3 linked regions of the Macaca fascicularis genome follow. The protein of the gene in region 3 purifies or fractionates together with the protein of the main gene of each other region. This does not show direct contact. Links are inferred from orthologs where the notes say so. Each region holds a gene or a part of one and is shown on either strand. Other genes may lie near its edges.

Region 1 (3,648 bases), on a different chromosome or scaffold from region 3:
GGTTTGCTTAACTTGCCTCATTTCCCTTGGGCAAATGAGGTGGGTAAAACTGACCCTGTATGTGTTCTAGGCTGCTTCTTCAGGGTTCTGTTGTTACCGTGACTGGTTTAATACCTGCAGCTGCCTACTTTGCCTATCTCTCCTAAGAGATATTCAGAAAATATTTTTTGAGTTTTTTCTCATTGTGTTGGGGTTCCTTTTTCATAGGATTTTGTCTTGGGAAGTTTCTTCTGGCCTTTCGTAACATGATTTTTCTTTTCTCTCCTCTAGTCAGCCTTGTCCAAATATGATGCCACTAAACAAAAGAGGAAGTTCTCTTCCTTTTTTAAGTCCTTGGTGATTGAACTGGACAAAGACCTGTATGGGCCCGACAACCATCTGGTAGAAGTGAGTAGTTCTGCCTTCTAGGCTTTGACTCTGATTAGAGGATGATGGACTTGGGAGCCATGTTTTAATGTCTAAGGAGAGGGGGAGGTATAAAGTGGTCACTCTAGGTGTACACAGTACCACTCCAGGTGTACAGTTTGCACGTTGACCTCTAGATGGCACTAGCATGTTTAGTTAGGACCAAGGGCTCTTGTAATCTAACTTGTCCCATCTTTTTAATGTTACTATCCTGGTCACTGCCACCTCTTTCAAGGGAAAGTCTACTGGTGGCCTCTCGTACGTGCCATGCCATCTCTGCATCTTGCTTGTTAATAATGGTGAGATGTAGTTACCCATGCACCAATCATACTTTTTCCTGGTAGCAGTTGCTGTAATTAGAGGGATTGACTGATAGGGTACCAGTACTTGCCAAGGTTACCATTACAGATCTGGGACTTCCTCTTGGTCTGTGCTCCATTTACATTTACATTCCAATTCAGCAAAAATCCTTTATTATGATGCCTGATTGCACACCATTTTGAAGCCCATGTTAGCAACAGTATTCTTTGGGATACAGGCAAAACCAGAATGACAGTCCAGCCAGCACGCCAAGTGAACTTAACCTGCTCCTTTCTTTGCCAGTGTAGCTGCAGCCCCTTAACCTCAACTACTAAGAGACATGGGAAGGTCTTTACCATCTAATAAGGGAAGTAAGTCATAGAATCAATAGAAACTTGTAAATATATTAATTTAATTTTATAGCAGTAGAGTATAGTGGCTAAGAATGTGGACTATAGAATCAAACACACCAGAGCTCAAATGGTGGCTCCGCCACTTATTGGCTGTTTGACCTAGGCAAGTTACTCTATTCTGCTGAGCATCGTTTTCTCACCTGTAAAATAAGTATAATTGTGCCTATCTTGTATAGATGTTTGGGAAGTGAGATAATCCAGGCAAATGTCTTAGAATACTCTCACACGTAGTTAAGTACTCAGTAAATGATAGCTATGTTATGTTACTGTTCACATGTGTATTATCCATTTTGTGGATAGAATTATCACTGGACATTCAGGCTTATTTAAATGCAACCACAAACAGAATTAAAAGGTTAATCTACTTATACACAGACAGTAATCCCAGAGCCATATGCAGTTTTTTAAAATGCCTCATGCTATTGCTCTTCTCCAGTAGCCTCAGTAATCAAAGTTGAATATTCAGTCATTACAGAAGCTCTTCCCTCCCACCCCAGCTCTTCCTCTGGGAGAGCACCCCCTGACATCTTCCTCTCTGTAGTGGCACAGGACCGCCACTACCCAGGAGACCGATGGCTTTCAGGTGAAGCGGCCGGGAGATGTGAATGTACGGTGTACTGTCCTACTGATGCTGGATTACCAGGTATTCTGTGGTGGTGTGAGGGGGTCCAGCTTTTACAGCCATATCCTGTCAGCGAGCTCACTTTAAAGGGTTTATGTCTAGTTGTGAATAATTTGCCACTTTGTCACAGAGATAGAGTCTTAGTCATCTCTGAGTTCTTCCTAGAATGTTTCTGTCCCAGAAAAAGCACTACATTGTTGTTGAATAGTTTGAATGTATTGCTGCATATAGACCCAGCTAACTAGCTTCATCCCCTATACCCTTTGGTTCCCTGCAGCCTCCCCAGTTTAAATTAGACCCCCGCCTAGCTCGGCTCTTGGGCATCCACACCCAGACTCGTCCAGTGATCATCCAAGCACTGTGGCAATATATTAAGACACATAAGCTCCAGGACCCTCATGAGCGGGAGTTTGTCATCTGTGACAAGTACCTGCAGCAGGTAAGTAATGGACCCATTCTTTTGCTAGAATCCATTAGAACACTAGCTACACTCAAAATGCTAAGCTCGTGCTTCTCTCCTTTGCCACAGATCTTTGAGTCTCAACGTATGAAGTTTTCAGAGATCCCGCAGCGGCTCCATGCCTTGCTTATGCCACCAGAACCTATTATCATTAATCATGTCATCAGGTAGGCCTGTGTGTGGGAGGCAGTGCTGTGCCGGAGCTGCCTTGTACCAGTTTGCACAAGCTAGTTGTCAAATTTTCAGGAATTTTGCAAATAGGTTGTTAAACACAGCTGTTACTTTACAATTAAATTACATAAACTTATAATTAAATATATTAGTCTAAAAGTGGGTAACATATACTCAAAATGTATTACTTTCTCATTATTACATTTTATTGTATTTGTGCTCTTGAGGTTATTTTTGCCTGTTGTATACATCTGGTGGAAATATGATATAATGATATGATGTGCTTATATGTTATTGTGCATCTCTTCTCATGAACAGTAATGTAATGTTGGTAGCTTGAAATCAGAATTTTTTTTTTTTTTTTGAGATGAAGTTTCATTCTTGTTACCTATGCTGGAGTGCAGTGGCGCAATCTTGGCTCACCGCAACCTCTGCTTACTGGGTTCAAGTGATTCTTCTGCTGCAGCCTCCCACATAGCTGGGATTACAGGCATGTGTCACCATGCCTGGCTAATTTTGTATTTTTAGTAGAGATGGGGTTTCTTCATGTTGGTCAGGCTGGTGTTGAACTCCTGACCTCGGGTGATCCGCCCGCCTTGGCCTCCCAAAGTGCTGGGATTACAGGCCTGAGCCGCTGTGCCCAGCCTTTTGTTTTGTTTTGTTTTGAGATGGAGTTTCGCTCTTGTTGCCCAGGCTGGTGTGCAGTGTCATGATCTCGGCTCACTGAAACCTCCACCTCCCGAGTTCAAGCGATTCTTCTACCGCAGCCTCCCATGTAGCTGGGATTACGGGCACCTGCCACCATGCCCAGCTAATTTTTTTATGTTTTTAGTAGTGATGGGATTTCACGATGTTTGCCAGGCTGATGTCAAACTCCTGACCTCAGGTGATCTGCCCGCCTTGGCCTCCCAAAGTGCTGGGATTACAGGTGTCAGCCACTGAGCCCGGCCGAAATCAGATTATTTAAAGCCCAAAGATCAGCAAATGCACGTATCTGGGCACTTCCTCCTGCTCTCCTTTGGAAGATCAGTTGTTAAACATTTACCAGCTCTTCACTGATGGAAGAGCTCAGTGGCCATCTTTTCTCTGGATGGTACAGCATTCTATTCTGAGCCTCCAATTCCATTACTTCTATTCACTTTTTTGTTTAGAGGATGGAGAGCAAGGCATCTCTAGGCAGATAGGAAGTGAAGAAAATTCCTTCTCAAAGAAGCATGGCTCTGTAGTTGGATATAGTCTCTTTGCCTTTCTTCCTTTATTCCATATTAATTCCAGTA
Region 2 (3,648 bases), on a different chromosome or scaffold from region 3:
ACATTTGGGGCAGGGCAAAGCATGCTCACTGGAGCCCTGGATTCCTCATCTGGGGTTCAGGGGATTGATCCAGGCCTACCTGATCCTGTTGCAAGCAGGGAGTTAGGGAGGCTCAGAGTTCTGGACTGTTTTTTGTTTGTTTTTCCTAACTCCTGAGTTGTTTTTGTTTTTTGTTTTTTGAAGGGGGAGGAGTTGCTAGCACCTATAAGCCCAGGTATGGAGCTTAGCAAAGCTCAGCTAGAATTTGAACTGTTAGCAGCCTTCCCCTGGGGTCCTGAGTGAGCTGGGGGCTCTGGGCCCGGGAAGCCTGGAGCAGATGTCTAGGTGGAGCCTATTCCAGGCCCTGCCTGTGCAGCCTTGTCTTAGGACTTCCTGTTACCAGAGCACCTGCCCAGGAGGGATGGGTGGTGCTGCAGGTTCTGTGAACGCTGCAGCGGGAAGCTTCCTGGGGACCATAGGGCCCTCGCTCACACTCTGCAGGACCCAGTGCTTCAGTTCTTCCCTTTGTCTCAGGCACTAGGAAAAACTAAAGTCTGGGATGTCTGGGCCCGGGCTTACAGCTGTAGTCACACTCAGTTTTTTTCTATAATCTCAGGCCAGAGAAAGAACAATCCTTAAGGCAGAGAAAGAGGTTGTCTTTTGCCTTTCAACAGCTCTGATTAATCTCTTCCTGATGGAGAGAGACTTTGGCAGGACTCCCAAAGCCCCAGAGCCCCCCACTTTGAGGTTTTTATTCTCCCAAACACCTCCCTCCCACCCTGCTCCTCCTCTCCCCATCCTCACGTCTGTGGGTCATGTTTCTTTCCATCTCTGCATCTGGTCAAGAATCTGACCCTCTGTTTTGGGAACATGGGTTTAGTGCAGGATGAAGAGGTTGGGGAAGAATCTCATCTCCATGATGCTGGAGTGGGGGAGGGTCCTTTGATTTGGTACAAGTCTCCACCCTGCCGGGCTTGGTTGGCTGGTTGTGCTCGTTGCATAATCTGGGCCCTGGGGCCAGCCCTGTGAAGCTGCCAGGGACAGTGTGTGCGAGGCAGAGCTGCCAAACAGGCCTTGCAGGCAGCAGCCATGGGGAGGGGGGTGGGGGTGGAGGTGACTCCCAGATGGGCTCCACAGAAATGTCGGGGAGCAAGGCTTCAAGTGGGAAATCCTTCTGCAGGCATCTAAAGAAGCTATTTCTATCTTCCACTTTCCTGCTGCTCAGCCTAGGCCTCTGATCCTTGCCTCCCAGGATAATCTTAGCCCCCTTCTTCAGCTTGGGATTGCCAGGGCTACACGGAGCCAGAGCCAGTCCTGGCTGCCAGGTGGTGCCTGGACCACGGGCAGAGTCCAGGTGCCAGCTGCTGTCTTTCCCACAGGCCACCCAGGAGCCATGGCTTCCCTTCTGGGGTCTTTTGGCATAGGGGCAGTAGTTGGGCAGTAAGGAGGTGAGAGGAGGGTCCAGTTCTGGGCTGTGGGTAGGGGCTATATGGTACCAGAGTACAGGGGACAGGGTCCCGGTACCCTGTCCGAGGCCGCCCTCACCAGCTGGTACGCGTTCCAAGTCATCCTGTTGTAGCCCTGCTCACCTGGGGTGCTGCTGCCTACCAGACCCCTTTCTCCCTCGGCCACAGAGGATGGGGATTGGGGCTCTGCACCATTGGCCTGCTCATGATATAGTATACCCCTCTGCCTGGCAGTGACACTGCCCCCGTGCCTCTCAGCCATGCTTCTCCCTCATGATGGGGGAAAGAGGAGGGCAAGGCTTGGCGGGACTGTCTGAGAGAATAGGGACTGGGTGGGGCTCCTGTAGGCCCTTCCCTCTGCAGGCAGGACCCTCCTCCCAGCCCAGGCTCTGGCAGACCTCATTCGCTGGCATGGCTGCCAGGGTGGTTGCAGGGGGCAGGGCAGGTATGGTTTACCCTCTTCGCTCCGACGCCCGCTCTCCTTTGTTCCTGGGGCTCCAGCAGGGCTCTGGCGTGGTGCTCAGGCCCAACCTGGCTGACGAGAGGGATGGAGGGCATAGGCTATGGGCCCTGGAGGGCCCTGCCCCTGACCTATGCACCCCCGTTGGCTCACTTCCCCCAGCGACCTGGCATGTCACCAGGGAACCGGATGCCCATGGCCGGCTTGCAGGTGGGACCCCCTGCTGGCTCCCCATTTGGTGCAGCAGCTCCGCTTCGACCTGGCATGCCACCCACCATGATGGATCCATTCCGAAAACGCCTGCTTGTGCCCCAGGCGCAGCCTCCCATGCCTGCCCAGCGCCGGGGGTAAGAGCATCCTGCTTATTCCACTCTGCCTCACTCATCTCTGGTGGTAGCAGAGGGTTTCCTTCTATCTTAAGAGCTTTGGTGTCTGAGGAAGATTCCAGGCTCTCTTGGGAGAGAGGGTCCTGGAGACTGGAGGGACGTTGCGGGGGTGAGTGTCCTTTTTTGGACCATTGATCTCTTAAGTGGGTTTCTGAACTCCCCAGGTTAAAGAGGAGGAAGATGGCAGATAAAGTTCTACCTCAGCGAGTAAGTGTTAAGAGGACGCCTGGGAGGCCTGCCCAGTGGCCACCTCGGGGTGGGCATCCGTCTCCCTCAACCCTGGGCTGCAGGAAGGGAGGAAAGAGCCAGGCTTTGGCTGAAGCAAGCTGATGAGCTTCTGCTACCTTCCTCCAGATCCGGGAGCTTGTCCCAGAGTCTCAGGCATACATGGATCTCTTGGCTTTTGAGCGGAAGCTGGACCAGACCATTGCTCGCAAGCGGATGGAGATCCAGGAGGCCATTAAAAAGCCTCTGACAGTATGTGTGACCTTGACCACCTCTAGCCTTCCCAGGTTTCCTTGCCCTCCACCCCCTTGTTTTCCAGGGGCCAAGCAAGTTGGGCTAGAGCTGGGTTTTTCACATGCAGGATGCAGCCCACTAGTAGAGTACGAACTCAGTTGAATGTGTTAGGGCCAGTATGTTTTAAATTAATATATGACAGTAGAAAATCTAAAAATACTTCACAGTAGTACTTACCATAGTAGTTAAGGTATTCTTTCATGATATTTTTGTTTCCGATAAATAGATATGCAGACCTTGGGTCATAACTGAAAAATGTAAATATTATGGGTCGTGGTCTCAAAAGTTTGAAAACCACTAGAGGATAAAGGTAGTTCCTTTCTCCTTCCCCTTCCCCATCCATAGAGAATATTTTCTTTTTTCTTTTTGAGATGGAGTCTCGCTCTTTCACTCAGGCTGGAGTGCAGTGGTACAATCTCGGCTCACTGCAACCTTCACATCCCAGGTTCAAGCAATTCTCCTTGCCTCAGCCTCCCGAGTAACTAGCATTACAGACGCCCATCACCACGCCTGGCTAATTTTTGTATTTTTAGTATCACCATGGTGCCCAGGCTGGTCTCGAACTCCTGACTGCCTCGGCCTCCCAAAGTGCTAAGATGACAGAGCCACTGCACCCAGCCGAGAAACTTTCCTTAATAATAATCTAGAACCGTCCTGAGTGGGGAAGGCTTTCCAGGAGACTAGGATATTTTGGGGCCGTGATGGGTGTTTGGGTATCATGTAAGATGTGAGCCAGAGGCCTCCGCGTTGCCATTGCACCAGTTCCACTGTGCTGGCGTTGTTGGTGATGCATCTCTTTCCCCATAAAATGGTGAGTTCCGGCCGGGTGTGGCGGCTC
Region 3 (3,648 bases):
ACACCCTAGTTCACTTGGCACCATAACTTATCTGTTTACCTGTCTCCCCTTCTAGACTAAGCTCTTTAAAGGAAAGAATCACATCATATTCACTTGAGTATATTTGGGATCTAGTACTGGGCCTGGTATATCGTAGTGATTAGCAGGCTCTAACCATGCAGCAGGCCACGCCTCTGCGCAGGAAGTATGTGCCTTACCTGGCTTAATAGATGGGAAGGAAAGTCGTGGATCCTCAGGCGGATGGGCTCGCCGCTTTTTCCGCCAGCGCCGGGCAGGGTAGGAGTACAGCTGTCCAGAGGCCAATCCTACGGCAGGAAGAAAGATAGAAGTCAGGCCCTAACCCAGTATTAGAAAATAATACCAAACACTTTCTAATTACGTAGTCTCCCCCTTTTGAGTTCTAGAGCAAGGGAGGAATTCTGACAGTGAGGGCCTAGGGGGTTAGATGGAACAGTCTGTGGAAAAGAAAAATAGATATATAAGCTTAGGGGCCTTGGCTAATACATAGTTCTCCAGACACACAATGGCCTCAGCAGGGTAGAAAACAAAGATGCTGGTATCAACCTATCTGCTTCATCCTCCCTGCGTTTCTAACCACAGGAAGACCATATTCATCCATAGGTGGAAGGCAGTAGGGAAAACCCTATCAACTGTCTCATCACCTAAGATGAGGAGGCTTCTTCCTCCTTATGCTCCTGAGTCCCCTTCTCCCAAGTCTGGACCCTCACCTGGACCCCGGTGTCGCTTTTCCATCCAGATGTAACAATTGCTCTGGGCTACTCCGGTCTGTGAGTCCAAGAAAGGCAGGCGCACGCTGCGCTCAGCACAGAGGCGAGCGTTGTAATTGTGGCACTGCTCCATGGCATCTTTGTAGTACTGCTCCCCAAGGCTGCAGAGAAGATAGAAACCAGGCGTGTGTGTTGGAGTGAGGAGCATAGGGTGCTGAGCTATTCCTCTCCCCTGTCATCTGCTTCTCTAGAAGGCTCAAGGGACTGGGAGGCTGTCTCTTCCATTCTATTTGCCTCCACTTCTGCCTCACGGGACACCAAGCCCCTTTTCTAGGCCACCATTAGGAATTACTTTACGAATAAATTACTATCAGGAACACATGATTTCATCATATGTCTAATCAGACTTAAGTCTAACCCCCAAAGAGGGTAAGGAACTAATGTTCACTCCATGTGTCTCACAAGCCCAGCCCTGTGCTAGTTAAGATGTTGTTTCTCTTAACCCTTATGACGCTGAGAAGCAAACAATAGTCCCCCCTAAGTTCCTCCTTATTTCCTCCTTCCTAGAATCACCTCCCAAATAAACTACATGCTCCCACATCCTTGCCCCAAGGTCTGCTCCAGAGGGAAAGAGTTCAAGGTCTAGGGGGCTTATTAAAATGTATTCAGCAAACTAGTAAATCCATACAATGAAATTCTATTTAGCCATAAGAAGGAAGCTCTTCACATACTGATATTAAAGAATTTCAAGTTAACTAGGGACAAAAAGCAAAGCAAGGTACACTGCTGAGAAGTGTCAAAGAAAGCTATCATTTATGTAACAAAATGGAAAAGAAACTGCAGGTCAGCAGGGAGAAAAAGTGGGTGACTAGGCCATTTCCTTCCATATGCCTTTTTATAGCTTTTGAATTTTGAACTAGGTTTTTAATCAACTAATTAATTTTACATTTATGGAAGATATCTACAAGTACCTGAAGTTCCTTGAAGTTTTTATTGAGCGCCATCACTGATAAGAAACTTGTTTGCTCTAAGGCCCATCTTAGGGTGCTTCTCTATTCTTACAAAATAAAATTATATAGGAAAAAATCTCCTTGGTCTCAAAAGACTCAATTTGAAATCTGAATCAAGGGTAAACCTTTAAGTGGAAAACTGGAAAACTGCACAGTGCCAGGTTCTAAGAAGCATGTACGTAGAACCTATCTTGTTCTCATCTTGCAGGGTTTAACCAGGACTTTGGTAATGGAGGTTAAACAAACTCTATCAGTTCATATTTATATTCAATCAATCTATGTTGCCCAAGCTAGACACAAACTCCTGGCTTAAGTGATCCTCCTACCTTAGCCTCCCAAGTATCTGGGAATAGAGGCATGTGTCACAGTACCTGGTGTCAATCAATCTTAAACCAAAGGCAGAACTGATTTCTTTCTCATAGTATCTCCAATACTCACGAAGATGTCTGAGATACAGTCAGACCTGACTTGAGAGTAAAAAGACCTGGCTGGCCTGCAAGTCACCACATGAACATGGACATTTAGTCAACCCAGGTGGACCTTGGCTATTCTTCTATAGATTGAGGAGGTTGGACCAAATGAGCTTTGACATATCAGGATTTTACAAGAAACAGCCTGGGGATGAAACAGCAAACAGATTAAGTCTCTGTGGTTTCTGTCCATAACTCGGGCTACACCAAAAAATCCTGATCTGGAATGTGATGGGGGCCTTCAGCGAGCAGCCACGATAGACCACTGCATAACTTACCATGTGCCCAGCAAGTAAAAAAGACATATAGCACACACAGAGATGGCAACGCCACAAATACGGCCTGGTATGATTCAATGAGCTGTAATGACTGTAATCTGAGGTAGGCACGAATCTCACGTTGGAGAGCAGAATGGAGAAAGCAGCCTCGCCTCTGCGAGCTCGCCTTTAGGAGGCAGCCACGTCTTCACCACACAGAATAAAACTGGATAAACAAGGCTGAGTGCCGCAGCTCCTTTGTTTCTGCTGATGGGAATTGATACTGACACTGGAAGTCAAATGGAAGGCAGGGCCAGGCTGGCGAGGGCTGCAAAGTCAGAGCAAGGAGGCTGGAAACAGTATTGGGAGGAATGAATGAAAGATGTTCTGTCAGGGCTCTTGTGAGCTACGTGGGATCTCAAAAGGTAAAGCAAACAGTCTTGGGGATACAAGGGCTGGGAATGAAACATGGAAGTGTTTGTGAGGGGAGAATCTGATGAAGAGAGAACAGGACAGGATGAGGGTGAGCTCTTAAGAACTTAAGGGAGGCTGGGCACAGTGGCTCATGCTCCATCACTTTGGGAGGCCAAGGCCGGTGGATCTCTTGAGACCAAGACTTAGAGACCAGCTTGGGCAACATAGTCAGATCCCATCTCTACAAAACGTTAAAAATAAATAAACCATCAGCTAGGTTTGGTGGTGCAGGCCTGTGGTCCCACGTAGTCCCTGGGGTGGATGAGGTAGGGGAATCATTTGAGCCTAGGAAGTTGAGGGTGCAGTAAACCAAGGTTATACCACTGCACTTCAGCCTGGGGGACAGAGGGAGGCTCTGTCTCTTAAAACAAAACAAAACAAAACAACAACAACAAAAACTTAAGGCTCCAGTACCAAGAAATGTCAAGTTAACATTAACACTGTTCTCTCTCTCTCTCTCTATATATATACATATATATCTTTTCGAGACAAGAGTCTTGCTTTGCCGCCCAGGCTGGAGTGCAGTGGCGCAATCTCGGCTCACTGCAGCTTCTGCCTCCTGGGTTCCAACGATTCTCTTGCCTCAGGCTCCCGAGTGGCGTGCGCCACCATGCCCAGTTAATTTTTGTATTCTTAGTAGAGACAGGGTTTCACCATGTTGGCCAAGCTGGTCTCAAACTCCTGACCTCATGATCCGCCCACCTCGGCC

Evidence for each region.
Region 1: the proteins of DPF2 (region 3) and SMARCD1 purify together in Homo sapiens (affinity purification with mass spectrometry; 9 studies listed by BioGRID and IntAct, counting the BioPlex papers as one, with this or other methods). This does not show direct contact. The link is inferred for Macaca fascicularis from reciprocal best matches to the Homo sapiens genes DPF2 and SMARCD1.
Region 2: the proteins of DPF2 (region 3) and SMARCD2 purify together in Homo sapiens (affinity purification with mass spectrometry; 6 studies listed by BioGRID and IntAct, counting the BioPlex papers as one, with this or other methods). This does not show direct contact. The link is inferred for Macaca fascicularis from reciprocal best matches to the Homo sapiens genes DPF2 and SMARCD2.

What each region holds. Positions count from the first base shown.
Region 1 is NC_088385.1:56,919,154-56,922,801, forward strand, and holds part of SMARCD1 (SWI/SNF-related matrix-associated actin-dependent regulator of chromatin subfamily D member 1), read left to right. Parts: intron 1-270; coding exon 271-387; intron 388-1,615; exon of another isoform or gene 1,616-1,659; coding exon 1,660-1,761; intron 1,762-2,017; coding exon 2,018-2,179; intron 2,180-2,269; coding exon 2,270-2,367; intron 2,368-3,648. UniProt on the Homo sapiens protein: Involved in transcriptional activation and repression of select genes by chromatin remodeling (alteration of DNA-nucleosome topology).
Region 2 is NC_088390.1:70,343,010-70,346,657, reverse strand, and holds part of SMARCD2 (SWI/SNF-related matrix-associated actin-dependent regulator of chromatin subfamily D member 2), read left to right. Parts: intron 1-1,021; exon of another isoform or gene 1,022-1,068; coding exon of another isoform or gene 1,069-1,140; intron 1,141-2,067; coding exon 2,068-2,252; intron 2,253-2,455; coding exon 2,456-2,498; intron 2,499-2,645; coding exon 2,646-2,768; intron 2,769-3,648. UniProt on the Homo sapiens protein: Involved in transcriptional activation and repression of select genes by chromatin remodeling (alteration of DNA-nucleosome topology).
Region 3 is NC_088388.1:9,036,084-9,039,731, forward strand, and holds part of DPF2 (zinc finger protein ubi-d4), read right to left. Parts: intron 890-3,648; coding exon 729-889; intron 306-728; coding exon 198-305; intron 1-197. UniProt on the Homo sapiens protein: Plays an active role in transcriptional regulation by binding modified histones H3 and H4. Is a negative regulator of myeloid differentiation of hematopoietic progenitor cells. Might also have a role in the development and maturation of lymphoid cells.